7 linked regions of the Macaca fascicularis genome follow. The protein of the gene in region 4 purifies or fractionates together with the protein of the main gene of each other region. This does not show direct contact. Links are inferred from orthologs where the notes say so. Each region holds a gene or a part of one and is shown on either strand. Other genes may lie near its edges.

The links.
Region 1: the proteins of DNAJC7 (region 4) and IFT122 purify together in Homo sapiens (co-immunoprecipitation; 3 studies listed by BioGRID and IntAct, counting the BioPlex papers as one, with this or other methods). This does not show direct contact. The link is inferred for Macaca fascicularis from reciprocal best matches to the Homo sapiens genes DNAJC7 and IFT122.
Region 2: the proteins of DNAJC7 (region 4) and STIP1 purify together in Homo sapiens (affinity purification with mass spectrometry; 4 studies listed by BioGRID and IntAct, with this or other methods). This does not show direct contact. The link is inferred for Macaca fascicularis from reciprocal best matches to the Homo sapiens genes DNAJC7 and STIP1.
Region 3: the proteins of DNAJC7 (region 4) and BAG5 purify together in Homo sapiens (affinity purification with mass spectrometry; 4 studies listed by BioGRID and IntAct, with this or other methods). This does not show direct contact. The link is inferred for Macaca fascicularis from reciprocal best matches to the Homo sapiens genes DNAJC7 and BAG5.
Region 5: the proteins of DNAJC7 (region 4) and STUB1 purify together in Homo sapiens (affinity purification with mass spectrometry; 3 studies listed by BioGRID and IntAct, with this or other methods). This does not show direct contact. The link is inferred for Macaca fascicularis from reciprocal best matches to the Homo sapiens genes DNAJC7 and STUB1.
Region 6: the proteins of DNAJC7 (region 4) and VPS13B purify together in Homo sapiens (co-immunoprecipitation; 3 studies listed by BioGRID and IntAct, counting the BioPlex papers as one, with this or other methods). This does not show direct contact. The link is inferred for Macaca fascicularis from reciprocal best matches to the Homo sapiens genes DNAJC7 and VPS13B.
Region 7: the proteins of DNAJC7 (region 4) and DNAJB1 purify together in Homo sapiens (affinity purification with mass spectrometry; 3 studies listed by BioGRID and IntAct, with this or other methods). This does not show direct contact. The link is inferred for Macaca fascicularis from reciprocal best matches to the Homo sapiens genes DNAJC7 and DNAJB1.

The regions. Positions count from the first base shown.
Region 1 is NC_088376.1:153,914,057-153,917,570, forward strand, and holds part of IFT122 (intraflagellar transport protein 122 homolog), read right to left. Parts: intron 2,966-3,514; coding exon 2,828-2,965; intron 1,217-2,827; coding exon 1,052-1,216; intron 1-1,051. UniProt on the Homo sapiens protein: As a component of the IFT complex A (IFT-A), a complex required for retrograde ciliary transport and entry into cilia of G protein-coupled receptors (GPCRs), it is required in ciliogenesis and ciliary protein trafficking.
Region 2 is NC_088388.1:10,210,736-10,214,837, reverse strand, and holds the start of STIP1 (stress-induced-phosphoprotein 1), read left to right. Parts: upstream 1-1,298; 5' UTR 1,299-1,356; coding exon 1,357-1,365; intron 1,366-1,499; exon of another isoform or gene 1,500-1,614; intron 1,615-2,259; exon of another isoform or gene 2,260-2,459; intron 2,460-4,102. UniProt on the Homo sapiens protein: Acts as a co-chaperone for HSP90AA1. Mediates the association of the molecular chaperones HSPA8/HSC70 and HSP90.
Region 3 is NC_088381.1:171,733,449-171,737,474, forward strand, and holds the start of BAG5 (BAG family molecular chaperone regulator 5), read right to left. Parts: upstream 2,806-4,026; 5' UTR 2,149-2,805; coding exon 2,051-2,148; intron 1,342-2,050; coding exon 1-1,341. Other genes in the region: COA8 (cytochrome c oxidase assembly factor 8), read left to right, coding at 3,156-3,278. UniProt on the Homo sapiens protein: Co-chaperone for HSP/HSP70 proteins. It functions as a nucleotide-exchange factor promoting the release of ADP from HSP70, thereby activating HSP70-mediated protein refolding.
Region 4 is NC_088390.1:63,034,848-63,038,361, forward strand, and holds part of DNAJC7 (dnaJ homolog subfamily C member 7), read right to left. Parts: intron 2,277-3,514; coding exon 2,158-2,276; intron 1,447-2,157; coding exon 1,293-1,446; intron 791-1,292; coding exon 626-790; intron 1-625. UniProt on the Homo sapiens protein: Acts as a co-chaperone regulating the molecular chaperones HSP70 and HSP90 in folding of steroid receptors, such as the glucocorticoid receptor and the progesterone receptor.
Region 5 is NC_088394.1:1,434,359-1,438,551, reverse strand, and holds STUB1 (E3 ubiquitin-protein ligase CHIP), read right to left. Parts: upstream 2,804-4,193; 5' UTR 2,682-2,803; coding exon 2,523-2,681; intron 2,179-2,522; exon of another isoform or gene 2,037-2,178; coding exon 1,838-2,036; intron 1,751-1,837; coding exon 1,585-1,750; intron 1,532-1,584; exon of another isoform or gene 1,393-1,531; coding exon 1,305-1,392; exon of another isoform or gene 1,166-1,304; coding exon 1,109-1,165; exon of another isoform or gene 1,022-1,108; coding exon 698-1,021; 3' UTR 438-697; downstream 1-437. UniProt on the Homo sapiens protein: E3 ubiquitin-protein ligase which targets misfolded chaperone substrates towards proteasomal degradation.
Region 6 is NC_088382.1:108,641,003-108,645,130, forward strand, and holds the start of VPS13B (intermembrane lipid transfer protein VPS13B), read left to right. Parts: upstream 1-1,325; 5' UTR 1,326-1,369; exon of another isoform or gene 1,370-1,745; intron 1,746-1,835; 5' UTR 1,836-1,864; coding exon 1,865-2,011; intron 2,012-4,128. UniProt on the Homo sapiens protein: Mediates the transfer of lipids between membranes at organelle contact sites. Binds phosphatidylinositol 3-phosphate. Functions as a tethering factor in the slow endocytic recycling pathway, to assist traffic between early and recycling endosomes.
Region 7 is NC_088393.1:14,953,357-14,957,574, reverse strand, and holds the start of DNAJB1 (dnaJ homolog subfamily B member 1), read left to right. Parts: upstream 1-1,413; 5' UTR 1,414-1,459; coding exon 1,460-1,670; exon of another isoform or gene 1,671-2,187; intron 2,188-2,757; coding exon 2,758-3,338; intron 3,339-3,636; coding exon 3,637-3,867; 3' UTR 3,868-4,218. UniProt on the Homo sapiens protein: Interacts with HSP70 and can stimulate its ATPase activity. Stimulates the association between HSC70 and HIP. Negatively regulates heat shock-induced HSF1 transcriptional activity during the attenuation and recovery phase period of the heat shock response.

The sequences.
Region 1 (3,514 bases), on a different chromosome or scaffold from region 4:
CTCACTAACTTAAGATCACACAGTAAGGGATCCAGGCAGGACCCAAGCCCAGGTCAGCCTGAAGGCTGTGCCCTCTCTTGCCCCCAAACCATTCTACTCTCTCTGGGACATGAGTGAGTTGAGACTGACAGGGAGTCACCCCTGGGCTAGAGGTGGCCAGGTAACCCCTTCTCACTGACAGAGGCTGCTCCCCACTTCAGGACCCTCCCCCTATCAATTCTGCTGCTGAGAACAAGGAGGAGCCTGGTAAGGGGACTCAATATGCCCATAACATGAGGAAACCCTGCAGTGGCCGAGGAAACCAGTCAGGAAGGGCTCCAGCTTTGGGGGGAACTTCATTCCGGGAAACCAGTCCTGACCACCTACAAAGACCTAAAGAGATAAAGAATGGCACGAGCCCAGCGAAAAGCAGCCAGGCCCTGGGCACAGAGCTACTGGGCTATCTTCTCTGGTGACACTTCCTCAGGCCACAGGGCTGGATGACTCCACCAAACAATGCCTAGGCCCCCAAAGATCCAAGCACTTCGCATTCTACCGGATCTTCTAGCATTTTTGTGAATTAAGCAGAAGGCAAGGCTTGCCCATTCCCTTCCCCCTATCAAAACTGATCCTGTTTCCTTCCTGTGCGATAGGTGCGCATAGACACAGGCAGGCCTGCACAGGTAAGACGCAGACTTCTGCAAAGGAAGTGCATCCATCGCCCCATTCACTGAGTGCCAACGTCACACCCCTCTCAGAGTCATGGCCCCATTTCTTGTTCATGGTAAACGCGTAAGAAAGGCTCTGCTGGCTCAGAGCCTTTGGTTTCCATTGGCAAGGAAACCAAAGTTAAAGAGGCTGGTCCAGGCCCTGCGGCTTGTGCCTGCATGGGAGGAGCAGGTTGTGGCCCAGGGCCTCTGGGACTCTGCACATGTGGTTGGCCCCTGCTCCTCACTGCTCCTCCCAGAGACCTGCCAGGGCCAGAGCTGGAGAGCCTCCTGCAGGGGCTGGAAAGCTAGAGGAGGGTCTCTAATCAAAGGATGATGTCCCTGGGCCCCCTCGGGGACATCACCTGAAAAAGCAGCTCCTTGGTATCGATGTCATACACCAGGCAAGTGTCGTTTTCATCTACCACGGCCAGCTTCTTACGGGAGGCACTCATGTCCAAGCAGCGCACGGCTGTGGCCTGCTTCAGCAGGATGATAGCAAAGAGATTGTCCACGAAGATCTTCAGGATCTGGCAACGTTTCAGTGAAAACAGTGTCAGTCACCATGGCAACAAGATCCTGGCCCACTGCCAGGCCGCTAGAATCCCATGTGCTCTGTAAGAACAACTCCCACCACCTTCACCAGAAGTTCTGTGCAGAGAAAAGGACTCCTCAAAAGAAAGGGGGGGGGTGGTGGGCGCGTTGGCTTATCCTCAGCAGGCCAGAAGCGAGGTTCATCAGAGGCTGCAGACGTAATGACAGCCCCGAGACAGGCCAAGCTCACTTCAGTGTCTGTTCGGACCGGGGATTTGTTGATGACATTACCCAAATGGCAGCGTTAGGAGAGGCCACCTAGCAGAGATCTGAGTCACGAACTAACACAGGAAAAGGCTACTATGAACACTGACAAGACATGTGGTAGAGAATTATAATAATGATGATGACAGCCATCATCTACTGATATCCCTGGTTTAAAAAAAATTTTTTTTAGAGATAAGGTGTTGCTATGTTGCCCAGACTGACTGCAGTGGCTATTCACAGTCTTAATCATATCACACTGCAGCCTTAAACTCCTGGGCTCAAAGTGATCCTCCTGCCTCAGCCTCCTGAGTAGCTGGGACAACAGGTACCCACCACCATGCCTGCTTTAATACCCCTGGTGTTTTTTGTTTGTTTTTTGTTTTTTAACACTGGCTTTAACTCCCAACCTTGATGATATCTGGTTTTGACAGTCCTATGAAATATGTGGTATTATCCTCATGTAAAATCAGCCTCACAGAAGTAAAGTGACCTGCCCAGGATGACAAAGCCAGTGAGTAGCTAAGTAAGAACATGACCTCAGGTTCACCTGACCCCCAAGTCCATCCTCCCACGGGAAGTGAGAGCTGCCTGAGAAAGAAGCGGCCGTTCCTCCCCTTGGCATTGCTGCTTGACTTCACTCACTGCTCTCACGCCCCGTGACTTCCGTCCCCAGCAAAGACCTGACAAGCCTCAGCCATAAGCCATCTGCTGCACAGCTTGGCTGTCAGGCTAATGCAGTTACATTGTCACTTTCAAAGTTCCATGTGGCAGCCCACTTAGAACTTTTCTTATGCTGAGTAAAGAACACACATGTACACACACACACACACACAGAGAAATCTGTTTAACTTTGTGTAACCTGGATATCCCACATCTAACTGGCCAAAGGGCTCATTTTTCTTACGACATCTATCAGTACCCTGAGGACCCAGCATTCTCTAGGACACATGCTGGAATACACTGCCTTAATCCACTCGCTGCCCTAATCGGGAGCTGACCTAGGTAACAATCTCTGCCTCCCTCTAGAAATCCACAGAAGCAGCATCTCTAACAAATCTCCCACCTTCTGGTGACCTTAAGCCACTAATCCACTTTACATGTAGCCAAAGGTTATAGCTCAACTCTGCCAAAACATGGGCCTGCTATGAGTGTGACAGCCACAGCACCTTTGGCCTGAGGCTGTCCTCAAAACCTGAACTCAGGGCTGCCCCACAATTCAACCATGGAGGAGAGAAGCCCTTTTCCTGCCCTGAGAACCCAGCTCAGAGTCATTGCTAGACGGGTCACCCACGTGTGCATGTAGATTATCAGCCTGAGAGGAGACATGCGGGAGTGCTCACCTGTCCATTCTTCAGCCCCACTAACAGGCCTTCCCTTCCAGGAGGGCCGCCGATCACCTTGATGTAACGAATGAGAGACTCCATCTGCCACTCCCGCTCCTTCACTCCGCTGAAGGACAGGCACTGCAGCCGTTTCTCCTAAGAAGCAAACCCAGATCTCATGGAAATTCAACAGAATAAGTGCTCCCAGCCCTCCCCAAGGAGGTCTTCCTGCCCCTAAAGTGTGAAAATACCTACACATTCAGTATCTATCTATCTAACCCAATGTAGACCCCATAATTGGCATCGTTAATCCAAGACTCCGTGCAAGGCTTCCCCACAGAGCCCAATTCAGCCTCAGACTTTCAATGCAAACCTCCATCCAGGCAGCCTAGGCCAGAGGCAGCACTCAGAAGTACACATACTTGCCAGTACACACACTTGCCACACGTATCCTGTAATTTGTGGCAACCCTAAACCGCTTGAAGTTCTAGACTTTGATTATTGATTGATTGATTTTTGAGACAGAGTCTCACTGTCACCCAGACTAGAGTGCAGTGGCGCTATCATAGCTCACTGCAGCCTCCAATTCCTGGCTCAAGCAATCCTCTTGCCTCAGCCTCCCAAGTAGCTGGGACTACAGGCAAGTACCATCACACCCAGCTAATTAAATAATTTTTTTTTTGTAGAGATGGGGTCTCAGTTTGT
Region 2 (4,102 bases), on a different chromosome or scaffold from region 4:
CAAGCTATTGGCAGAGAGGACACACTTTAAACCCTGGGAAGATGGCATTACCCAGAGAGGGGGAAGGATGAGGACACTGCAGAGCCCAAGACCATTGCCAGACCCGAGTCATGCGGCTCCTTTGTTCCAGGAACCACAGCTGACTCTAGAAGCAATAGCAGCATTTTCACTCCGCAGGTGCATCTCTTCCACGCTTTGGGGTGCCTGCCCTGACTCTGACTTCTGGGGCTGGGATTTAAGGCTCTACCAGGCCACAGTTAGCCAGCTCATAGGCGGTTAACTACCTGATTCAGCTCTTCGTCTCTTTCACTCCTTTACATCGGACTCACGAGGGCTGGGGGACAGCTCCCTTTCGCTAAGTACTTTCCGCGTGCTAAACACCGCACGAATTCCCCTCGGCCCTACAGGACCAAACGACTCAGAGAGGGTGTGCGGTTCCACTGAGGACGCCCAGCAGAACAGCCGCACCCGCCGCGATGAGATCCCCTGCCTGTCCAGCCCAAGCCCAAGCGCCCTCGCGGTCACGTGGCATTTCTGGAACCTAACAGCCAGAATGCAGGAGGGCCAGGCCGAGGCCGCAGCGCTGAACAACGCGCGCAACTGGCGGTCGAGGACCACGCAGCGCGACCGGCTAGGACCTCCATCTCGATGCGTGGGCGAAAGGCTGGGGCCCTGTGCCGCTGGCGATCCCGGGGACCGCCTGGAACTCGCGGCACTAGGGATCCAGATGGAAAGTAACCCACAGGCACCGCAGCCGCCGGAGACACGGCTACAGTACCGGACTACGGCCGAGACTGCCATATGCCACGGGCGGGGCGAAACCCAGCCTTTTGAAAGGCAGCGATTTAAACCAATCAGCGCAGAGGGTTGGCAACCCTCCGCCCAATTGGAATCGCTCTCATTCTGAAGGCGGTTCCGACTTGGAGTCCGGCAGCCCAATGGGAGAGGTGGAAATTTCCAGAACGAACGGAACCAATGGGCGCGGCCAGCGCGGCTACGATTGGCAGAGCAAAAGACCAATCTGTGTCGCAGAAGTCCGCTCCTCCCTCCGTTCGTGCAGCCTGAGATGGGTGGGTTTATAGAGCGGCGTCCAATCCTGAGGTGCGGGGGAGGCAGGGTTGAGGGAATCACTCCCCGCTGTCCAATGAGAGGGAAGTGGAGATGATGGGCTGGACCTCAAGCCAGTAGTAGAACAGCACAGAGAGCCCCCTAGAAGTACTCGACCAGTGAGCAGGCGAGGAAGGGGCGGGAGCCGGGGTCCCGGCAGCTTCTAGTAGGTTCCAGAAGGCGGCGCGTGCGGTTGGGATCGCGGAGCGGACGGATTCGATTCAACGGGGTTCCGGGCCGCGCTGCGCTATGGAGCAGGTGAAGGGGGAGGGGCGGGCTGAGGCCCCGAGACCGCTCGGGGACCGGCGGAGGCCAGGCCCGCGGTAGGGGGCGGGGCGGGTGCCAGATCTGGGCGACCGGAGCTGGGTGCTGGAGCCGGACGGGGCGGCGGCGGGGAGGCGAGGGCCGCGGGCGGCGGGCGGGAGCGGGATCTGTAGAGGCCGGCCGCGGGGAGCGCCCATCGCCCCTTGGTTGGGCGAAGAGGGCCGGGAGGAGGCCACAGCTTGGGTGAGTCCGGCCGGCGGCGGGAAGAGGGGCCGCGACCGGGCCCTGAAGGTGTCCCGAAGGGGCTGCTGCAGGCTATGCTGGGGAGGGTGCGGGCCGCAGAGGGCGGGGTGGAGTTAGGCCAGGGGCCGGGGTCGGCACCCGCGAGGTAGCGCTCCGGGAGATCTGAGACAGCCGACGGAGAAACCGCTCGGACTTAGCCACGAGGAACTTGGACGGATCCAGGGAGCGGGGACGGGAATACACTGGGTCTTAGCAGCCTGAGATCCAGTTGGGGCAAATCTTACTCTTCTGCATCTGAGAATGTGAGGGTGGGAGAGCGTTGAGCGGGGATTTGAGGAGCTACAGAGCGAGTGTAGCTGATGCAGTAAAGGGAAGGGTGCCGCAAAAGTCCTTGGAACGAATTCCATCTCTGACAGTGGTTTACAAATGTATTGCGGCCCCTCCCCCTCTTTTTGTATGCGTGTGTGTGATTGTCGAGTGACCGAGGACCGACACTTCCGAAAGGTGGATTTCTAGCTACACTGGGGCGGTTGTAGACAATTTGCAGAGATTAACCGCTAGAAGTTATGGGCCTCTGTTGAGCATTTGGGGGGCAGAGTTTGAAGCGGCTGCTGCTTCCTTTCAGTGACTTGGTTATGTCCTCAGTAGCTTGTGGTTGTGAAAGGCCTAGAGATTTTGTTCCATTGGAAGCTGTCATTGAGCTATAATGATTCATCGGAAGAAAAAGAACAAAACAACCTCCGAGAAACCTCTACCAACATCTGAGAAATCATCTGCTCGAGAGTACTACCCTCGTCGCTCCGGGCCCATAACACTTCGGGGTGACAGTTCTGAAACTATACCTGGTATTTGGTTCTTACTTCAGATCCATAAAACTAAGATTGCCCACACGCTCCCCTTAAGTAAGACATCTCGATGGACTAGTGACTACCACCCTTTTTTTGGTGGAGTTCCAGAGCTGAGCCTTTGGTCTCTTGTAGCAGTTGCTGCTTTAGGCAAAGCTCGAGCTTCCTTGCTGTATTAAAAAGAGTGGAAATGAAGTTAATAAACTTTTTGTGCCCATATAATGCTTCAGTTGTGTCTAGGATTAAATGGGCTGTATTATAGGTGAGGAAAAATTTTCTGGAATAAGACATTGCTCTTTTACTTTTAAGAAAGGATCTCGGCTGGGTGCAGTAGCTCGCACGTATAATCCCCAGCACTTTGGGAAGCCAAAGCGGGCGAATCACCAGAGGTCAGGAGTTCGAGACCAGCCTGGCCAACATGGTGAAACCCCCTCTGTAATAAACGTACAAAAATTAGCGGGGCATGGTGGCGCATGCCAATAATCCCAGCTACTGGGGAGGCTGAGGCAGGGGAATCGCTTCACCCCTGGAGGCGTAGGTTGCAGTGAGCTGTGATTGTGCCACCACACTCTAGTCTGGGCGACAGAGTGAGACTCCGTCTTGAAAAAAAGAGAAAGGACCTCTTTCTGCTGTTACCAAATTTATTTTTTATTTTTTAGAGACAGGGTCTGGTTCTGTGGCCCAGGCTGAAGTGCACTGGTGGGATCATAGCTCACTGCAGCATCAAATTCCTGGCCTCAAGCGATCCTCCTGCCTCAGCCTCCTGAGTAGCTAACCACACGCCACCACAACTGGCTAATTTTTAAATTTTTTGTAGAGACAGAGGTTTTGCTATGTTTCCCAGGCTGGTCTCGAATTTCTAGGCTCAAGCTATCCTTCAGCCTTGGCCTCCCACTGCATGAGCACTAGGATTACAAGCGTGAGTCACTTTGCCTGGTCTTAAAATGTTTGTTTTTAAATCACCACCACCCATGGTAGAAGTGTATGTGCAGATAGATAGATGGTGAATGAATATTTGACTTAGGACAGCAAACTGACATGGCGACTGTACAGATGACCTGGCATTTAACCCCAGGTGTGTTTGAGCCCACCATCTGGAAGCCATTCCTGAAAATAAACAAGACTTTGTTTTCATTTTCAACTGTGAGGTTTGTATTTCAGTTTAGAAAATACTCAAGTTGGTCTGGGTGCGGTGGCTCACACTTGTAATCCCAGCACTTTGGGAGGCGGAGGTGGGTGGATCATGAGGTCAGGTTGAGACCAACCTGTCCAGCATTGTGAAACCCCATCTGTAGTAAAAATTTAAAAAAAATAAAAAATAAAAAATCGCCCCGGGGGCGGTGGCTCACGCCTGTAATCCCAGCACTTTGGGAGGCCAAGGCGGGTGGATCATGAGGTCAGGAGTTCGAAACCAGCCTGGCCAATATGGTGAAACCGTGTCTCTATTAAAAATACAAAAATTAGCTGGGCGTGGTGGCATACTCCTGTAGTCCCAGCTACTTGGGAGGCTGAGGCAGGAGAATCGCTTAAACCCAGGAGGCGGACCTTGCAGTGAGCCGAGATTGTGCCACTGCACTCCAGCCTGGGTGACAGAGCAAGACTCTCTCTCAAAAAAAAAAAAAAAAAATTAGGTGAGCATCGAG
Region 3 (4,026 bases), on a different chromosome or scaffold from region 4:
AGATAGCTGAGAATATTCTGGGCAAGCTTCACAGCCTGTTTCCTGGCAGCCTTACACTTCTCTTCTCCCTGCGGATCAACAGCATCCAGGGCTAGCAGCTGCTTGGTGAGCAGCTCTTCCAGCCGGATGTAGTTCTTATCGGTTCGATTTCCATCAAATGAAAGAACTTCTCCTTGGATCTCGGACAAGTTTCCAAGGACGTTCCAGACGGCTTTATGGGATGGGTGCTCCTCACAAGCAAACAGCTTTCTTTTCTCAAGGGCCTCCTTCAAGTCAATATACGTGATCAGAGTTTGCACCTCGATCACTGCTCTTCTCCTGGCTTCCCGGATGCAGGGGTTTTTTTCAAGACTTACCTCATCCAACTGTCCAATTAAACCCTGCAATTCTGTTTTGGAGCTCAGGTACAATTCAGGAGGGTTTTGTGCTTGGAGAAGTTCATTTTTTATTTCTCTCATTCTCGTGAGGACCTTTTCTATTTTTAAAATGGAATGATTCTGTCTCAGGTCAAATGCTTTAGTCGTGTCTGCTTCCTCTTCCAAATCCAGATACTTCAATAATTTGTTGATATCTTCTACTACCTCCCTCCGATAATTTCTGATTTCTGTCCGGCCGCACACATCTAGAGCATCTAGGTCAGCGATCAGCCCTGAGAGCACACAGGATAAGTGCCTGCAGGTCTCACTGTTGTTCACGCCCATCAGAAGTGCAATCAGGACCCCTCGGGCCTTGTTCACCTCACACATCACAAAGTTGATTTTGGCCACGGAAGGATGTGCATCCTCGGAAAGCGGCAGGGAAGGCTGCTTTTTCATGCAGTCTTCGATAATCTCTTGCACCGCACAGATTTTGGTTAAAGTGTGATACCTTGCTTTCCGCAAGGAGATTTTTCCTCCAGTTTTAACATGTGTCAGCCTCAGAATGATATCCTGGATGCCTTCTTCAAACTCGTCAGTTACGCAGTTGCCTCCATTATAAAATGGCACAATTTTCTCTCTAACGAGGGACTGGGCTTCCTCAAAAATGTTCTGTATTTCAATCCGGTGTGGGTGGTTTGCATTCTGCTCCAACTCTTTGAGAAGACGTTCTGTCTCCTGTGCTGCCCTCTTCCTAGCTTGCTGAATATCTCCTTTTCCTTCAGTATCTACAGAGTCTATTTCAAAAAGTTGTTTTGTTAGAATCCTCTCCAGTTTCTTGTAATTCTTGTCATCTGACAGACCACTGAAGCCGACAACTTGCTGTTCTACACTTTTTACTTCCTTTTGGATTTCCTGAAGCCTACTAATAGAAGGATGTTGGTTTCCCATATCCATACTTTTGTTGTGTTCAGTTTCACAAGCACTAAAAGATGACAAGAATAACTTATTACAGCACAAGGCTTCTGCAGAACACTAATGGTATACTAAGTCATTCTAAAATTCTCATTTTAAAAAGGCATACTTTCGAGCAGTCATCCCACCTCAGCCTCCCCAGTAGCTGGGACTACAGGCGTACACCACCACGCCCAGCTAATGTTATTATTTTTAGTAGAGACAAGTCTCACTATATTGCCCAGGCTAGTCTCAGACGATCCGCCCGCCCCCGCCTCTCAAAGTGCTGGGATTAAGGTGTGAGTCACCGTACGCCGCACAAACTATTTGGAACCGGCAGGGCACCTTTATGCAAGGTGAAACAGTAGCTCTTGTAACCTTCCGAACACTAACAGTACCCCGCCCCGCCACACAGCTATGCCTAGTTTCCAGAAACTCTAAGCAAAATAAACTGAACCAGTAGAACAAAAACCAGTGGCTCTCAGATATCCCCAAGTTCCCGCTTCTTCCCTTTGTGCACTTCCCCTCCCCACCCTTTTAGCTCCTCACACATCTTCCCTCCCAGATGTCTCCCCGAAGAGATAAAAACCCCACAGGTAAAGAAGAGGGACGGGGATTGCGCTGAAGGGCACCACCTTGGGCTTTCGAGGCCCAGCACCTCCTCAGCCCCCAACATGCTCCACTGTCTCAAAAAACTACAACCTGCGAAAATGTGGTAACTGAATAATTCATTCACTCGCCTCCCACTGAGAGTCCACAATCGCCTAATGCACGTTTCAAGCTCTTGGTTTCTATCAAACGGCTCGCTCAAGGTGGGTAACCAATGGAAACGCATCATCCATCCCCTGTGGATGTTCTGGAGGCCACGGAGGGCAGGCGGCCCGAGTTCCTTCCTCCCCGCCTCGCCCTTCCCTCTTGGCTCTTTACCCAGAAGAGGTCTGAGCTGGCTGCGATCTTGGCGTCCCGTGGCTGAGGTGGCGAGGTGGAAGATCAGCCCTTTACGGGGTGCGGCACCGGAGCTGGGCCCCCAGCTGCATCCCTCGCGCCCCTCCCGACTAGGTCTGAGCGGGGCAGCCGGTGAAGGGGCCGGCGGTGAAGGGGCTGCTACTGGCTGCAGCAGCCGCTCCGGGCGTCTCGGCCTAGGTGCCAGGGCGCGCCCGCAGGCCCTGACCTCACAATGGGCGCGCGAGGGGCCCTCGGCCCGGCCGGGGGAAGCCGGGGAAGGAGGGGAGCCAAGGCCCCGCCGGAGACACCAGAGACCAGGCCCGACCACCCCTGGACAGCGTCCGAGCCAGGGACGGGGACGGCGCCGAGACCAACTCTGCTCGGCCTGTGCCGACAGGCCGCGCTGGGGTGGGCGCTGGCAGAAAGGTGGTCCAGCGGGGAGCCCCGCGCGGACGGGGGGCCCCACTCGTCCCCCCGACGGAGGGAAAAGGCCACACGCCGCGCTTCGCTCACCTGTCCCGCCCGCGCCATCGCGCGATGCGTCGCCGACGCTTCCACGACTTCCGCAGCTCCGGCCGTCGCCCGGGCCAGCCAGCCCACGCCCCTGGCCGAACACCCCTAAACCCGGGGACACCTCCTCCGGCGTCCGCGCCTAGCCGCCGACAGCGCCAAGCCCACCGCCAGCGGCGCAGCAAGGCAACTTGGAGTGACAGCGACCAAGGAGCGGCCGCCCGGGTCAGCCCGCGCCGCCCGCCGCTCCCGTAGGCCGTCGTACCGCGGGGAAAGCGCACGGTCGGCCGCACCGCCGCCCTCCCTCGGGCTTCGCGACCCTGCCGTAAAGCGGCCTCTCGCGCCGTCGCAATGCTGCCGTGCGCCGCGGGAGCCAGGGGGCGTGGGGCCATGGTGGCCTTGCGGGCGGGGAAGAAGAGTCTTCTCCGCGCTCTCAGCCGCTCCTTCGTCTGCCGCGGCTGTCAACTCGCTCCGGAGCGCGGCGCCGAGCGCAGGGATACGGCGCCCAGCGGCGTAAGCAAGCGCCTGGGGATATTGGGCCGGGAGGGGTGACCGGAAGGAAAGACAAACCGGGGCCTCGGGGCAGCTGCCTGCCATGCACAGCCGCCTCAGGCCTTTCTGCAGGTGCGCTCGCGTCCGATCCCGAACAGTCCCGCAGCCCCAAGGCTTCCGCGTCAGGGCTCTCGGTCGGATGGGACTGAGGGTGCCGCCGCCACGCCGGAGACTGTTGACAGCCAGAACCTTTAAGCATAAGAGTCTTATTTGTTCCCGAGAATGATTATTTTTTATATTTAAAGAGCTCTTGGCTTAGCGTGCATTTTTTTTTCGTGGTCTGTGTGTGTGTGTGTGTGTGTGTGTGTGTGTGTGTGTGTGTGTGTGTTTTGGCTTTGTTAAAATTATTAGAGCTTTTATTCAAGCGGTGAACACTTTATACTTTATCATCGTACTTTTGTAGCACTTCACGTTCAATAGTTGTTCTTATTTGCAAACTATGTGTGGGTATATGCATGTTACTGGCCAAAGATCCGCAAAGAATGTCTGTAGCAAGAAAGAGTGGCAAGCAATTTTTCTAAGTCATACTTTTGGGAGGGATGTTTTGTTTAAAGGAGGCCTAGGCCTTGATTCCATCTGTCAGATGAAAATGTTGGCTAACGGTGTGGAATGGGCTGGAGATAAAATATTCAAGCAAAGCATGCAAATACCAAACAGGCTAATGAAGGAGGCTGGAAAACTTGGTTTAAACAATAATTAAAGAAGTGTA
Region 4 (3,514 bases):
ATTTGTCTTCAAGGATAAACTACCTTTACCACACCATGTTAGTGCCCAATGAAAACATGGACATAGCAGGCTGCTTCCTGCCCTCCTTTGTTCCAGAGGCCACCTAGAGGGATCAGAAATCACTCTGATTTTTAACTGCTAGAATTCTGCAAGGGCAAGGAGTCTACTTTTTGTTTCTCATGTTGTGGAGGGCCACAAAAGCACTCAGGCCATTTTCAACCGTGCATGGTGACCATCAGTTACACTGGAGAAAAACAACAAGCTTGCCTCATACTCTTCCTCCAAATCACTCCTAAAAAATAAATGATCACTTGCATAAGCAAAACAACAACAAAAAAGCAACAGTAGCTGCTTAAGATTATCCCACAGCCCCTAGCCATTCTCTTACTGGAGGAAAGGGACCTTAAAGAACAGGTGAGAATATCCTTGCAAATTGTCCAACTGCCCTCAAATTCCATGGAGATGACAAAAGCTTGCCTCTTGGAAGGGAGTTCCCAACAAGCTATTAACCATAACAACTTTTCCTCTTTCATCTTGCTCACCTTCATTGGGCAGATTTCCCAAGACCCTTTGATGTCCCTTAAAAATATATCTATAGGCCCCAAGATGTAGATCAAGAGCTTACCTTGGAATTAACCGTACCCCGATTACAGTAGAGTTTAGCATTTGTTTTTATATTGTTGGGGTCTATCCCCAGGGCTTCTGTGTACAGTTCATATGCTAGTTTGTAATTTCCTTCCTTAAATGCTTTATTCCCATCTTCTTTCTTTGCTTTGAGTGCTTTGGCATTCTACAGAAAAAAGCACGGGGAAGATCGGTTCATATCCACAAAGCCTCAGACCACTGCACAGAGAAGCCAGAGTCTATTTTCAAGTTCTTGGCTTATGGTAGTTTAGCATCACAGAGCCCCGCCAACCCCCAATCTGGGCTATCTGTTGCTCATTTGAGCTTTCTACAGACTGGACAGGAGAAACCAAGAGTCACCAAAAAGACCTATGTTACTGGGTCTGCCTCCACTTCCCAGGGCAAGTATTACTATCTATCTTCACTGAGGGGAAAAACAAAACAAAACCTTCTTAGATATTAAAGGCATCTGACCCTATATGATCAAATTTACCTTTAGGTAGATAAAAGTAGTCCTAAAACCATTTCTAATAAAGACCAAGCATGCTTGCAAAGCAGGAGGAAAGGCTATGACATTCCCTGTGATTCTAAAACCTTCCCCTCTAGCCATCTTAAAGGTCCCAAAAGGAAGCTTTCTTTCCCAGTTAGGTCTGGTGACTAGAACTTACTCTGCAGGCAATGCAGGCTTTCTCATGGTCAGGAGCCATCCTGAGAGCCTGTACGAAAAACTGAACTGCCTTCTCAATACAATCTTCATAATAAAGGCAAAGACCTCGTACATATAGAGCATCTGCATTGGTAGAATCCATTCGTAGAATGTCACTGCAATAGTCAGAAAAGGGCACATTGAGCTGTGCTTTAGAATGTCCCCACCATTACTACCATTTGTGGCCAGTTTTTTTTCCTTGACCATGTGTCTGGCATTCAGAATATCCAAAGGTAGACAGATTCCCAAGAACTGTTCCCAAACTTTCCCCAAATAAACCACCTATAATTATCTTTAAAACACATCTTGTGTCTTACAATCCTCATTAAACTAGAACAGGGTTTGGCAAACTACAGCCCACAGGGCCAAATCCTTTCTGCCACTGGTTTTTGTAAATAAAACTCTATTGAAACAGCCACATCTATTGGTTCATCTATTATCTAGGACAGCCTTTGCACTGCAATGGCAGAGTTGAGTTAGTTGCAACAGAGACACTGTGGCCTGCAAAGGCTAAAATCTGGCCCTTTGCAGAAAGTTTGCTAACCAGTGGAGTAGAAGGAAAAGACTACCTTAAACAAACAAACAAAAACTACAAAAAACTCACGTAACACAATCTGTTCTTTCGTAGATAGTACCTGCTATACTATTATACTCCTGTATACCCTATGGGTTTTCAAAGCTGGTCTAATCTTTGACTTTAAGTCTTAAGAGGGTCTCATCAGCCCTAGCTGGCCTGCTCTGGGGACCATATCCTGTGGTGAAGCTGCCGGACACCATCAGACCAATGGTATCCGGCATTTTAATGCCCAACTGGCCTGACTGCATACCTAGCCACAGACTGTGCTTCTGGATAACGACCCAGCATTGCTAAACATTCTGCCTTGAGGATTTTGAAGCGATGGCAGGCAGGGGCAAATTCTAGGGCACGGTCCATGCAGAAAACAACCTGTGGGGAAGAAAACAAATAAGGCTCTTCATCAGGGACTCCAGAAACATCTTCAGTTTAGTCACAGGAAACAGACTCAAAGCTCAAAGAAGTCTTTGGGTCCACTGTTAAGTAATATCAAAGTTTAAAAACATACCTAATTCACTAAATAAACGCACTGAAATGAGGAGAGCAAAGATTCCAGAGGATAATGATGGTGAACATTTATTGGGTGACTTTGTATATGAACCCATTTAATCCTCACAACAACAATTTGTGAAATAGGCAATATTATAACTTTTTTTTTTGAGACACAGTCTCGCTCTGTTGCCCAGGCTGGAGTGCAGTGGCACGATCTCGGCTCACTGCAATCTCCGCTTCCCGGGTTCACACCATTCTCCTGCCTCAGCCTCCTGAGCAGCTGGGACTACAGGCGCCCGCCACCGTGCCGAGCTGATTTTTTTTTTGTATTTTTAGTAAAGACAGGGTTTCACCATGTTAACCAGGATGGTCTTGATCTCCTGACCTTGTGATCTGCCCTCCTCGGCCTCCCAAAGTGCTGGGATTACAGGCATGAGCCATCACACCCAGCCTTAAAATAGTTATTTTAAATGGCTCTAAACAGGCTATATCAGATTACTATTCCCAGCATGCCACTATACAAACCACAAGCCAAGTAGCTCTCACACACACAAAAAGGTGGGGATTAATTTACTCTTTCAGCCTCATAAAGCATCTTTTTACTAGTTTGTCCTCTGAGCTTTCAGTTTTGGTTTAGTTGCTATTTATTCCTGGGAGAGCCTTGCTGAATCACACTCACTCCAAGAATAAATGAACCAAAGGAGAAATGTGGAGTTAAAGGACACCTATTCCCTCTAAGAATCTGGCCATGGGGATCAAGAAGAGATAAACTCTGAAAACTTACAAGCAGAAAAATTCAAATTCCATCAACAGGAGACTGGTTAGATAATGTGGACATTCATATAATGGAATACTATGTAGTTCTAAAATAAAATAAAGAAGCTCTTCATGTACTAATATGGAAAGAGTTCCAAGACCTATTCAGTAATTTTTTTTTAAAGGTGCAGAACTGCCAAAAAGCATACATCTTTCATGCAAGGTAAAGGTAGAAAATCCAGGATCTTTATTTTATATATGTACAACAAAACTACAGAAGCAAATAGAAGACATAAGAACAGTGGTTAGCTTAGGGGAGTGAGAACTGGGCAAAGAGAGGACAAGTTTGAGGGGACACTAAT
Region 5 (4,193 bases), on a different chromosome or scaffold from region 4:
TGATCTACGGCCGTAAGGTCAGCACAGGGTTGGGGTTGAGCCTTGGGGCTCGGTGACCAAAACAGGCAAGGGTGACGCTGCTGCTCCTGCCCCCAGCGCTGGTTCCTCTACCCACCTGAGAAGACACCAGAGTTCCACCCCAACAAGACCACGCTGGCCTGGCTCCGGGACACATATCCAGCCCTGCCACCGTCTGCACGGCCCCTGGAGTGTACCATCCGGGCTGGTGAGGTCAGTGGCTGGCAGGAGAGGGCCAGGCCAGGCCAGAGGCCCCCAGCTAATCTGTGCTGCACCCCTTTTCTCCACCAGGTGCTGTACTTCCCTGACCGCTGGTGGCATGCCACACTCAACCTTGACACCAGCGTCTTCATCTCCACCTTCCTCGGCTAGCCAAAGCAGCTGGCAGGCATGCCTGCCACACACCAGCACGTCCCATCTCGTGCTCATGGATTTTATTACACAGACAGTGTCGGCAGTGGCTTCAGCCCAGCCCACCCTCACCTGCTTTTCCAGCCCACAAAGGGGGACAATCATGGCCCAGCAAGAGCTATGCTGAGAGGGGGAATAGTCCAGAGCCCAACAGCAGAACTTGAACTTGGAAGGGGCCAGGGTGGCCAGCAACACAAACTATGTACAGGGGTGGAGGGCTTCCGCCCAGGGCTCTCCTGGACCAGGATGCTGGGCAGGGCAAGGCATCTCAGTAGTCCTCCACCCAGCCATTCTCAGAGATGAATGCGTCAATGACTTCCTTCATGGCCAGGTTGGGGATGAGCTGTTCCTGGGTCAGGGGGCTCCGGGTCACGGGGTCAAAATGACCCACGCGCTGCAGTGACAAGAAGGGCAGAGGGCAGTCAGTGGGCCCAGGACCATGCTGCTGGCCCTGCTCCCCCAGCCGCAGCCTCACCTGCAGGTGCTCCTCGATGTCCTTGCGGTCGTAGGTGATGCCACTGGGCGTGATGCACGGCTCCCGCATCAGCTCAAAGCTGATCTTACCACACAGGTAGTCGGGGATGTCACGCTTCTGTGGCACAGGGGCACACGATCAGAGGCTGGGAAGGGGCACTGCTCCAGCACCTGCCACCCACCGCAGCAAGTGACAGACACTCACCTTCCTCTTCTCGTCCACCTGAGAGAAGAGCTCGTCCATGTCTGCCATGTACTTGTCCTGTGAAGAGTTGAGCACTGCACTTGTGCGGGACACCCCACCTCCCTCCTCCATGGGGCACAGACCCAACACAAGGCGGGGATGCTCCCACGCCAGGTGCACACACACAGACCCACATGTGGGAGGGGGGCACCCTCACATGCTTAGCCTCAATGCAGGCCTGCTGGGCCCGGACGTGGCTGTCGTCCTCATCACCCTCGTGGTTCCGCTGGCACTCTTCCAGCTCCCTGGGGGTTGACCAGGAGCCAGTAAGAGATGGACCTGGCCAGATGTCTGACCACACCCCAACCTCAGGGCTAACATTCATGCTTCTTCCCCACGTTTTCTGCTCGCCAGTAAAACCTTCAATAAACGCTCATGTTGGTAGTTGGTGATTCAGAATTACCCCAAGACAGGGCGACCTGGGGTGAGGGTCCCACCTCTCACGCTCCGCGGCAATGAGCCTGGAGAGGTAGGAGTGCAGCTCGCTCTCCTGGTGGATGCGCCGCTCCTCGATGCTATTCCAGCGCTTCTTCTTCGCGATTCGAAGAGCGCTGGGGATGTCGTCCCCGAAGTTCAGCCGCTGCTCCTTGGCCAGGCTGTAAGCTGGGGAACGGGGGCTTCAGGTCACTCTCTGGCCAGTCCACCCGCCTGGCCCCAGGGGCCCCACAACCGGGCAGCTTGTCAGCCAACCTCGCTGCAGATTGGCGATGGCCTCATCATAGCTCTCCATCTCCAGCTGGCACTGCCCCAGGAAGAAGTGCGCCTTCACAGACTGCCCGTCCAGTTCCAGGGCGCGCCGGCAGTCGGCCAGGGCCTGCTCGTGCTGCTGCATCTTCAGGTAGCACAGGGCACGGTTGGTGTAATATACGGCCACCAGCGGGTTCCGGGTCTAGGGACCAAGGCCGGGCCAGCCGCATGAGGGTGTAGGCTCAGCGCGCCCCCTCTGTCCCACGGCCCGTCCCAGCTTCTGCGCTCTGGCTAGAATCAAGAAACTAGGCTTCTCAGTCGTCAAAGCCCCTGGATCCAAGGATCTGCAGACAGTGGAGTACTGGCTGAGCCTATCCGCTTGACTCCACTTGGTTTTGTAAAGTTTTCCAAATCTTTGGAGAGTCCAGGCTTTGGACCTGGGAGCCTCAAGGGGCGAGGGCCCCTGCCCTCCCCCCGACCCGGCCGGCCTCCATCCAGCATCCCACCCTCGTTCTCCGACACCCGGCGCTGGGCTCGGGAACCACGGCTGGGCTTTAGGAGCCCAGGACATGCCCCGCAGAGGAACCAGACCCTCGGTGGGGCCAGCCGGGCACGGGCCCGGCCCTCCCCGGCGCCGCCGCCGCCGCCGCCGCCGCCGCCGCCGCCCTTCCCGCGCGAGCGCACTCACGATCGCGCGGCCGTAGCAGGCCGCCGCCTCCGGGTACTTTCGGCCCACGAACAGACGGTTGCCCTGCTCCTTGAGCTCCTGCGCACTCGGGCTCTTCTCGGGGCTTCCGCCGCCAGCGCCCAGCCGCGCGCCGCCCTCCTTCTCCTCCTTGCCCTTCATGGCGCCGCGCGGCACGGCCTGGGCTGCGCTCCCAAGCTCCGCGCCTGGCGGCCCAGCGCCTGCAGCCCGAGCCCCGCAGCCCGAACCCGCGATCCTCTCGGGCCCGGCCCAGCTCCACCGCCGGAACTTCCGGCCGGGGGCGGGACCAGCGGGGACGCACGGGTGGGGGCGAGTGGGGCCGCGCGTGCGCCCAATCAGCCTGGACGGGGACGCTAGGCCCGCGGCGTCGGGGGCTGGGAGGAACACTCCGGTTCCCTCGCTCGGCGCTCTTAAGGGTCGGCGTTCGCGGAGGCCCTGGCCCGCCCTGCTGAGGCCTCTTCGGAACCGGCCTCGGCGGCGACCGCCACACACATTCGACTTTCCCAGTGAGATGCCTTGGTTCGCTGAGGGCGCACTCCCCCAACAGCCTGTCCCGACCACCTGGCGTTCCGCCCCCGCCGCAACGCGCAGAGACCCCTCCCCAAGCAGCGGGCCCCATCCAGAGGCCCTTCCCCCGGCAGCCAGCCCCGCCCCCAGCAGCCCGCCCCATCGGCAGACGCCCCGCCCCCAACAGGCCGCCCCACCCAGAGGCCCCGCCCCCAGCAGCCAGCCCCTACGCAGAAGCCCCGCCCCCAGCAGCCGGCCCCGCCCCCGGCAGCCGGCCCCGCCCCTCCGCGTGAACATAGTGGCTTCCCGCGCTGTTGGGTGTAAGGACCGCAGTCGCTGGGCCGCCATTCCGGAGCGCCATCGAGAGGTCCTACGGGTGCGCGCGGACCCCCGAGTGCGGCTGGAAGCCCTGGGCCGTTGGTAGAGTGGAAGGGGATAAAGGGATCGGTGGGCGAGCGTACCCTGTGGCCGGACCTCCCCTCACCGCCCTTCCCCAGGTATCGGGAGGAGTTGCCAGCGGCCATCAGGGGCAGAGCGGAGAGCATGTGACAGGGAGCTGGAGCGGCTGCTGGCCTGGAAGCTGGCGGCGAGGTGCGGCCCGCCTCGAGGGCGGGGCCTCCGTAGGGCGGGTCTTCATCGGGGCGTGGCATCGGCGGGGCGGGGCCTCCAGAGCGGGTCTTCGTGGGGGCGGGGCCTCCCTGTGGGTCCACCACGCCGGGCACCCTGACCTGGCTTCTCACAGCATCTGGTGACCACCAATCCCCCTGAGCTGGCTGTGCACTGTTCGACCACCACCTTCTGCCTCCTGCCAGATGTGGGGGCCGCGGTCACCCAGCTGTCTGCCCTCTGCGGTGTGGACCCACCACAGTCACAGCCTCAGGTGAGTTGGGTGGGCACGACTTGGGTACATAAGCGTCCTTGTCTGTGAAGCAGACAGTCTGGGCCCTTGTGTGTCTCTAGGACCAGGAGTCGGAGCCAGAGCTTGTCCTGATGGGGTGTCTGGCTGCTTCTCCTCGCTGCTCACAGCAGTCCTGGTGCCTGGAGCTCGAGATGGAGGCCTTCATGTCAGATGAGGCAGTGGTCACAGTGCCCGGCCTGCCGGCCCCACAGTACACCCTCAGGTACTACCTGCTGTACCTGGGCCAG
Region 6 (4,128 bases), on a different chromosome or scaffold from region 4:
TTTTTCGACAGTCTCACTCTGTCGCCCAGGCTGGAGTGCAGTGGTGTAATCACGGCTCACTGCAGCTTCCACCTCTGGGGCTCAAGTGATCCTCCCACCTCCGCCTCCTTAGTAGCAGGGACTACAGTACAGGCACCATGCTCAGCTTATTTTTGTATTACTAATATTTTTGTAGAGACGGGTTTTTTCCATGTTGGCCAGACTGGTCTCAAGCAATTTGGAGGCCTTGGCCTCCCAAAGTGCTGGGATTACAGGTGTGCATCACCGCGCCTGACCAGGAGTCTAGTTTCAAAATGCAGTGGTAGGGGTTTTTTCAGCGCTAACCAAAAATAAGACAAGCTGGGCAAAACTTGGGCAGCATGTCCTATGCGATTCCTTTAAGCCCAGTATATATTTTCCGAGTTAATGTTTGAGTTTCTTGACTTTGTTAGCTTGCAAGCTATTATACGGAAAGGCAATATTTTATACACTCATTACAGCCTAATAAAACCAACACCGACCCTTACAACTCTGAATTCATTACTTATCAGTTATATTCACTTTGTCTCTAGAACTCTCAATTCCGTCTTCATTTTGGTTATTGCCGCAGCTTCCCTAAATCTCACGTCAGACTGCAATCCTATGGTTCCCCGCAATATTTTGACCATCCCTCCCCCGCCCCTCATCAGCAAACTAGGGAGTACTTCACCATTGCTTTGTGAAAGTAACAATGCGAGAGCTTGTCTATACGTTTGGCCAAAACGCGTCCTCCAACAGTGTACGTCCTAATCCCTTCATTTATCTTCCCACATCCACCCTCCTTCCAGCAAATAAACCTCGGAACTCAGTTGAAATCTGTCACTTACTTCGCTCCTCCTACCAGCGGCCTATTGCTTCTGCCCTCCCCAGTGAACCCAACCTAGTTCCTCTTCCCAGTCCTCCCATTTCTCAAGAAAGACAACCACCTGTTTTTTTCAGGGCTTTAAGTGCTAGGTGTGGTTTCTTCCTCCGCAACCAGCGACCCTCCGTGCCTCCCCACCCAGGACGGACCTCCACCTCGGGAACCGCCGACCGCGCAGCGGCCCCAGGACCCGCAGCCACCCTCTCCCCGGAGCACTACTTCCGGATCTCGGGTGTTTCCCCTTTACGGTTCCCTCCACCCGCTCAGACACCTCCTAGATCTTTATACTAACTAGCAGGGTCGCAGCTGGGACCCTGGCTAGCCGAACGCAACAGTTCTTCTCCACGAAGACGCGCAAAGTAGCTTCTCCAGCCTGAGAAATCCGGTCCGGCTGCGTAGAGTGGCGGCCGTGGAGGGACACTTTGTTTTGAACACCAAGTAGGGCACACCCGGAAGTGGCGCGGTACAGGAGCAGCGCTGCCGCCGGGGGTGGGTGCCAGGGACCTGGAGGTGGAGGGGACGCGGCGATACTCTGGCGTGTGAGCGGAGAGTGGAGTGCTGGGGAGCGGGAGCGGGAGCGGGAGGGGGGGCCTTCTAGCTTTCGTTCTATGGTGGCAGATCCGGCTGGGTTCCGGGAAGCGAGGGCCTCGCGGAGTGACTGGGTTGGTGAAGGGCTACTGCGGCCGAAGGGGAGTCCGCCTCACTTCATTCTTCCACTCTGAGGGACCCGCTCTCTTCTGGTCACTACATCTTCCTCCCTTACTTCGCTTGGCAAGGGGTGTTGTACTTGTGAGGAAGTCGCAGCTGGAGCTGGGAGTCCTCTTGAGTTTTCTCTGCTTCTAAGAGGAGGCGAACGGCCGCCTTGGTGGGGACTTACTGCTTTTGGCCTGAGATAACTAACGCTCTTTCCTTCACTATACGGCCGACTTACAACGTTTCTGTCTACTCCTTTCAGCTTCCGACTTTGACTCCTTACCTTAAAAGATGCTGGAGTCATACGTAACTCCGATTTTAATGAGCTATGTGAATCGCTACATCAAGAACTTAAAGCCGTCGGATCTACAGCTTTCGCTATGGGGTGGAGACGTCGTACTTAGCAAGCTCGAGTTAAAGTTGGATGTGCTGGAACAGGTAAGCTATGTAGCTGTCATGAACTGGAAACAGTTTTCAACTTGTTTAGACGGTAATCTGTTGTATCCTACGCCTTGACTTTGTGCTATAAAAACGAAACTTTTCTACTGATGTATTTTGAACTACCCTGAAACAAGGGAGGCTTATTTTACATTATTTTCTTTTTTTTTGAGATGGCGTCTTGCTCTGTCGCCCAGACTGGAGTGCAGCCGCGTGATCTCGGCTCTCTGCAACCTCCACCTCTGGGGCTCAGGCAGTTCTCCTGCCGTAGCCTCCCTAAGAGCTGGGATTACATGTGCGCACCACCACGCCTGGCTAATTTTTGTATTTCTAGTAGAGACGGGGTTTCACCATGTTGGCCAGGCTGGTCTCGAACTCCTGACCTCAGGTGATCCGCCTGCCTCGGTCTCCCAAAGTGCTGGGATTATAGGCGTGAGCCACTACGCCCGACCTGCATTATTTTTAAAAATAGTTTGTTCCCAGGTGACGGTATATTAGAATGGGATTACTTAAAGTTGCCTTGACAGAAAGACGATTTCATTGTTCATGTCAGAATTGTTCTATTTAGTCAATTTTCAAGCATTATGAATGTGCTAATTTATGTTGTCAAAATTCTGTATAAGCCTGGAAAATATTACATTCTCATTCTCCTTTTTGGGCAGTGGAAGGGTTTGAAGGCCATCAGGAAGTGTGGCTGGCTGGTGGGGGTTGAGGAAAAAAAGATTAAAAAAAAAAAAAAAGCAGGTTCAGATCATGAGGAAAGATGACATTTCCCACAGCATCCTCAGAGTGTTGAGTAGATACATTGAGAATGGCAGTAAAATTGGAAACTTCTTTATTAATCGTTTTAGTTTCTTTTAACATGAGATTGGTCTGATGCAAAAGAACTCTTAACTTCAAAGATCACGTATTCATTAATTCACTTATTACATTTATTAGTAACATATGCCAAGAAATTCTGTTAGGCTTGAGGATCTGTGCAAGCTCAGAAGAATCAGAGACCAAATGATTTTTAGGAGATAAGGGAAGACTTAATCTGACAGTGATAGTTATTGATAATTTTTAGGTATAGTCCACAGCCTCTTTTATTACTCTTTTATTAAGTCAGTCTAGACTTAACACCAAGAAATAATACTCCTGGCTGCTGCTTTTTCCTGTTTCCAAGGTTAGTTGAGTGGCTTAGTATTTTCATTTTCTTTTTTTTTTTTGATGAGCACAAATCCCAAGTATAACAGCTGAGTTTTTTTTTTTTTTGAGACAGAGTCTCGCTCTGTCGCATAGACTGGAGTGCAGTGGCGCCATCTCGGCTCACTGCAAGCTCCATCTCCCGGGTTCACGCCATTCTCCTGCCTCAGCCTCCTGAGTATAGCTGGGACTATAGGCGCCCGCCACTACGCCCTGCTAATTTTTTGTATTTTTAGTAGAGACGGGGTTTCACTGTGTTAGCCAGGATGGTGTCGATCTCCTGACCTCATGATCCGCCTACCTCAACCTCCCAAAGTGCTGGGATTACAGGCGTGAGCCACCGCGCCCGGCCAACAGCTCAATTTTAAAATGTTTTACACCTGTGCAACTACTGTCCAATAAAAAAATAGAATGTTTCCAGCACCCCAAAAGGTTCACCTGTTTTACTTTTAGTAAGTACTCCGGGCTGGGCGCAGTGGCTCATGCCTGCATTCCCAGCACTTTGGAAGGCCAAAGCGGGCAGATCATGAGGTCAGGAGTTCGAGACCAGCCTGGCCAACATGGCGAAACCATGTCTCTACTAAAAATACAAAAAATTAGCTGGGCGTGGTGGCATGCGCCTGTAATCCCAGCTACTCGGGAGACTGAGGCAGGAGAATTGCTTCAATCCGGGAGGGGAAGGTTGCAGTGAGCCAAGATCACGCCACTGGGCTCCAGCCTGGGCGACAAAGTGAGACTCCATCTAGGGTAGGGGGACGTACTCCCCATTCCTAAAAGAGGTGACTGGTAATCTGACTTCTGTCAACACAGATAAGTTTTACCTGGTTTTGAACCTCAAAAAAATTGGAATCACTTGTGTTTGGCTTTTTTCTTTCAACCTTTCTAAGATTAACCCCTGTTGTTAGAAGAGTTTGTTTTTCGTATTGTCAGTA
Region 7 (4,218 bases), on a different chromosome or scaffold from region 4:
CAGTGAGCTGAGATCCGGCCACTGCACTCCAGCCTGGGCTACAGAGCGAGACTCCGTCTCAAAAAAAAAAAAAAAAAAAAAAAAAGAACGGGGAATATTTATGAGGTTCTCACTGCATTCCAGGCACTGGAGACCCAATGCAGACAGGACCTGGCCCCTGCTCAGGTGGCGATCTCAGACTGGGAGGGAGGACACATTGAAAGCCAAGAAACAAAATAAATTTCTAATTTAGCAGCAAGTGCTCTTGAAAGGGCAGTAAAGTGAAAAAGGCGGGACTGAGAGGACCTCGGGAGGTGAGCTTTCGCCCAGATCCTCACCTCGCTTTAGGAAGGGAGAACAGAGGCAGTCTTCTGTCCCAACATCCTTCTCCCCACAGTTGGGAAAATAGCGCTGGTGGATTCTTTGTTTGTTCATTTTGTTTTATTTTACTTATTTATTTATTTTATTTTGAGACGGAGTCTCGCTCTGTCGCCCAAGCTGGAGTGCAGTGCCCCGATCTCGGCCCACTGCAACCTCCGCCTCCCCGATTCAAGCTATTCTCAGGCCTCAGCCTCCTGAGTAGCTGGGATTACAGGTGCGTGCCACCACGCCCGGGTAATTTTTGTATTTTTAGCAGAGACGGGATTTCACCATGTTGGCTAGGCTGGTCTCGAACTCCTGACCTCAAGTGATCCGCCCACTTCGGCCTCCCAAAATGCTGGGATTACAGGCGTGAGCCCCCGCGCCCGGCCTGTTTGTTTATTTTAAAAAGAAACGGAGTCTGCTTATGTTGCCTAGGCTGGTCTCAAACTCCTAGGCCCGAGAGATTCTCCTGTCTTGGCCTCAGGAAGTGATGGAAATTACAGTCGTGAGGCTCCGTGTCAGGTTCTCTTATTGCCATATTGTAGAAAGAAAGAGACCCCTGGGTTAAGCAGACGCGGGTTAGGTTGTTCGTCCGGCGTCACCCGGCGGAGGCCCACCGCAGGTCCCGCGAGACAAGGGCTGGAAGGTTTATCACCTCCTGGGGAAAAGACAGGCTAGTCCCAGGCCCCACCCCTTCCCGGAACATCACCTTCGCGACGGCTCCTGACCCACTGACCCAGGCGGAGGGCGGGACGCAGGGTCGCTGGGGCGGTGCAGAGTGTGAAAGAAGCTCGCGATTGGCTCGTCCCGGAAGGTGGGCGGGGCCTCCTCCGACCTGTGCGCGCGCCGCCGGGAGGCGTTGTCGAGGGCGGAGCGGGAGGGGGCGTGGCCCCGCGCCGGCGGCCGTTGACGGCAAAGCGCCGCCCCGGATGTCGCGTGTCACGGAAAGGGTGGCGGCGATTGGCCGGCGCCGCGGGCGGGGGGGCGGGGCGGAAGGTTCTGGAGGGGGCTGGCGGGCTCTGGAAGCTTCCGCCGGACGGGTATATAGAGTCCGGGACCGGGCGGCGGCGTAGCCGGGGGACGGCGACAGCGGGTCGGCGGGCCGCAGCGGGGGGCCATGGGCAAAGACTACTATCAGACGCTGGGCCTGGCCCGCGGCGCGTCGGATGAGGAGATCAAGCGGGCCTACCGCCGCCAGGCGCTGCGCTACCACCCGGACAAGAACAAGGAGCCCGGCGCCGAGGAGAAGTTCAAGGAGATCGCCGAGGCCTACGACGTGCTCAGCGACCCGCGCAAGCGCGAGATCTTCGACCGCTACGGAGAGGAAGGTGTGTGCGCGCGGCCAGGGGCGCGGTCCCGCCGTTTGACAGGGAAACCGAGGCATACCGGCCCCTCTCGGCGGCCCCCCGGGAAGGACGCCCCGGGCCCGGGGGCCGAGCTGCCCCGCCCTCCGGCCGCTCGGGCCTCCGCCCTTGGATTGGCGGCCGTGCGGTGCGGGGAGGAGCCTTGGCCCAGCCGCTCGCCCAGAAGCTTCTAGCATGTCTAGGGCTGCCCCTCCCCGGGCGCCTCTTCCCGCGGCCCCGAGCAGCCCCGGGGTGCGGTGCAGGGGGGTGGGGGAGCCGGGGGTGACGACGGGAACGGCACGGCGGAGCCTGCTGCGGACCCGAGCTCACCTGGGCTTAGCCGCCGGGGTCCGCAGGGCGGCGCCTGCGGCTCAGCTGCGGGGCGCGGGGCTGTAAATGCAGGCGCCGATCCCGCTCGCGGGCCTTGGGGCTGGGCTGGGATGATTTCCGGGAAGTGATGACCTGGTCCCGGCCGAGCACGCAGGAGGCAGCGGCCGCCTAGGTGCGGAGAGCTGGGCCGCCTGGGGGTTTGGGGGGACGGAGAGTGGGGCTTTTTGTCCCTGTGCCCCTTGATGACTCAGGCTGGCTTCTGGGCTTGATCTGGGACTGACTTATTATGCAAGGATGGTGGCAGTGAATGCTAGTGTGAGGGTTTAAAAACTCTACATCTTTTTTTTTTCCTTATTTTCACTTTTCGTACACATCAGTAGTCCTAAAATGTTGAAAGTAAATACCGAAAGCCGACCCTGGACCGTGTGTGTTTAGCCATCCCTTGGTGACATTGCCAGGAGGATGGGTCAGTCCAGGAGTGGCAGGGCCCAGGTGGCACCTGTAGGTGGACACCTAACCGCATGAGTCCTTTTCCATTGTCAGGCTATGCGGAAGTACTTGGGGGGGGGGGCAGCTCTGCTGCTGCAGTGAGGGGTAGAAGCTTGGGGTTCTTCCTTGCTCTCCCCTGGCAGGCTAAAAAAAGTTCCTCCCCCATGGCCTCCAAGCTTTTTTCCCCCGTAAGGGAAGCTCGAGAGGGAGTCTGCTGTTCAGCCATCTGACTGCTTCTAATTCTGCTTTTCAGGCCTAAAGGGCAGTGGCCCCAGTGGCGGTAGCGGCAGTGGTGCCAATGGTACCTCTTTCAGCTACACGTTCCATGGAGACCCTCATGCCATGTTTGCTGAGTTCTTCGGTGGCAGAAATCCCTTTGACACCTTTTTTGGGCAGCGGAACGGGGAGGAAGGCATGGACATTGATGACCCGTTCTCTGGCTTCCCTATGGGCATGGGTGGCTTCACCAACGTGAACTTTGGCCGCTCCCGCCCTTCCCAAGAGCCCACCCGAAAGAAGCAAGATCCCCCAGTCACCCACGACCTTCGAGTCTCCCTTGAAGAGATCTACAGCGGTTGTACCAAGAAGATGAAAATCTCCCACAAGCGGCTAAACCCCGACGGAAAGAGCATTCGAAACGAAGACAAAATCTTGACCATCGAAGTGAAGAAGGGGTGGAAAGAAGGGACCAAAATCACCTTCCCCAAGGAAGGAGACCAGACCTCCAACAACATTCCAGCTGATATCGTCTTTGTTTTAAAGGACAAGCCACACAATATCTTTAAGAGAGATGGCTCTGATGTGATTTATCCTGCCAGGATCAGCCTCCGGGAGGTAAGGTGCCAGGTGGGGCGGTGTCTGCAGAGCGCGATGGCTGCTCTTTGAAGCAGTTTATTTAGGTTTTGCTGAACACGCATTGGGTGTGTGGCGCTTGCCAGGCTTGGGGCACCACAGTGAACAGGACTGATCAGGGTGCTGTTCTGGAGCTTTCATGGTGGAGACATGTCGATTTGGGGGCCAGGTGTTGGCTGCAGAGGCCTGATGAGTCTTACTCTATGCCAGATGGTCTCCGGGCAAGAGCTGAGCCTCTTGAGCCAGCTTCCATCTAATGCTTATCCCTTTGCTTTTCAAGGCTCTGTGTGGCTGCACAGTGAACGTCCCCACTCTGGACGGCAGGACCATACCCGTCGTATTCAAAGATGTCATCAGGCCTGGCATGCGCCGAAAAGTTCCTGGAGAAGGCCTCCCCCTCCCCAAAACGCCCGAGAAACGTGGGGACCTCATTATTGAATTTGAAGTGATCTTCCCCGAAAGGATTCCCCAGACATCAAGAACCGTACTTGAGCAGGTCCTTCCAATATAGCTGCCAGAGCTCCGACTGACCAGGGACCTTTCCAGAGCTCAAGGATTTCTGGACCTTTCTACCAATTGTGGACCATGGGAGGGCCCAGGGAGGACTTTCATACTGCTGAATGTTTTCCAGAGCATATATTACAATCTTTCAAAGTCGTACACTAGACTAAAGTGGTTTTTCGAGCGATAGGGCATCAGGTGGTGGGAACAGCAGGAAAAGGCATTCCAGTCTGCCCCACTGGGTCCGGCAGCCCTCCCGGGATGGGCCCACATCCTCCTCCTCCAGTCCCTGTCCAGGGGTAGAGGCAGACCAGCAGCTGGACTTGATCCCTCTGTGTCCCTTTGCTTTTGACTGGTAGAT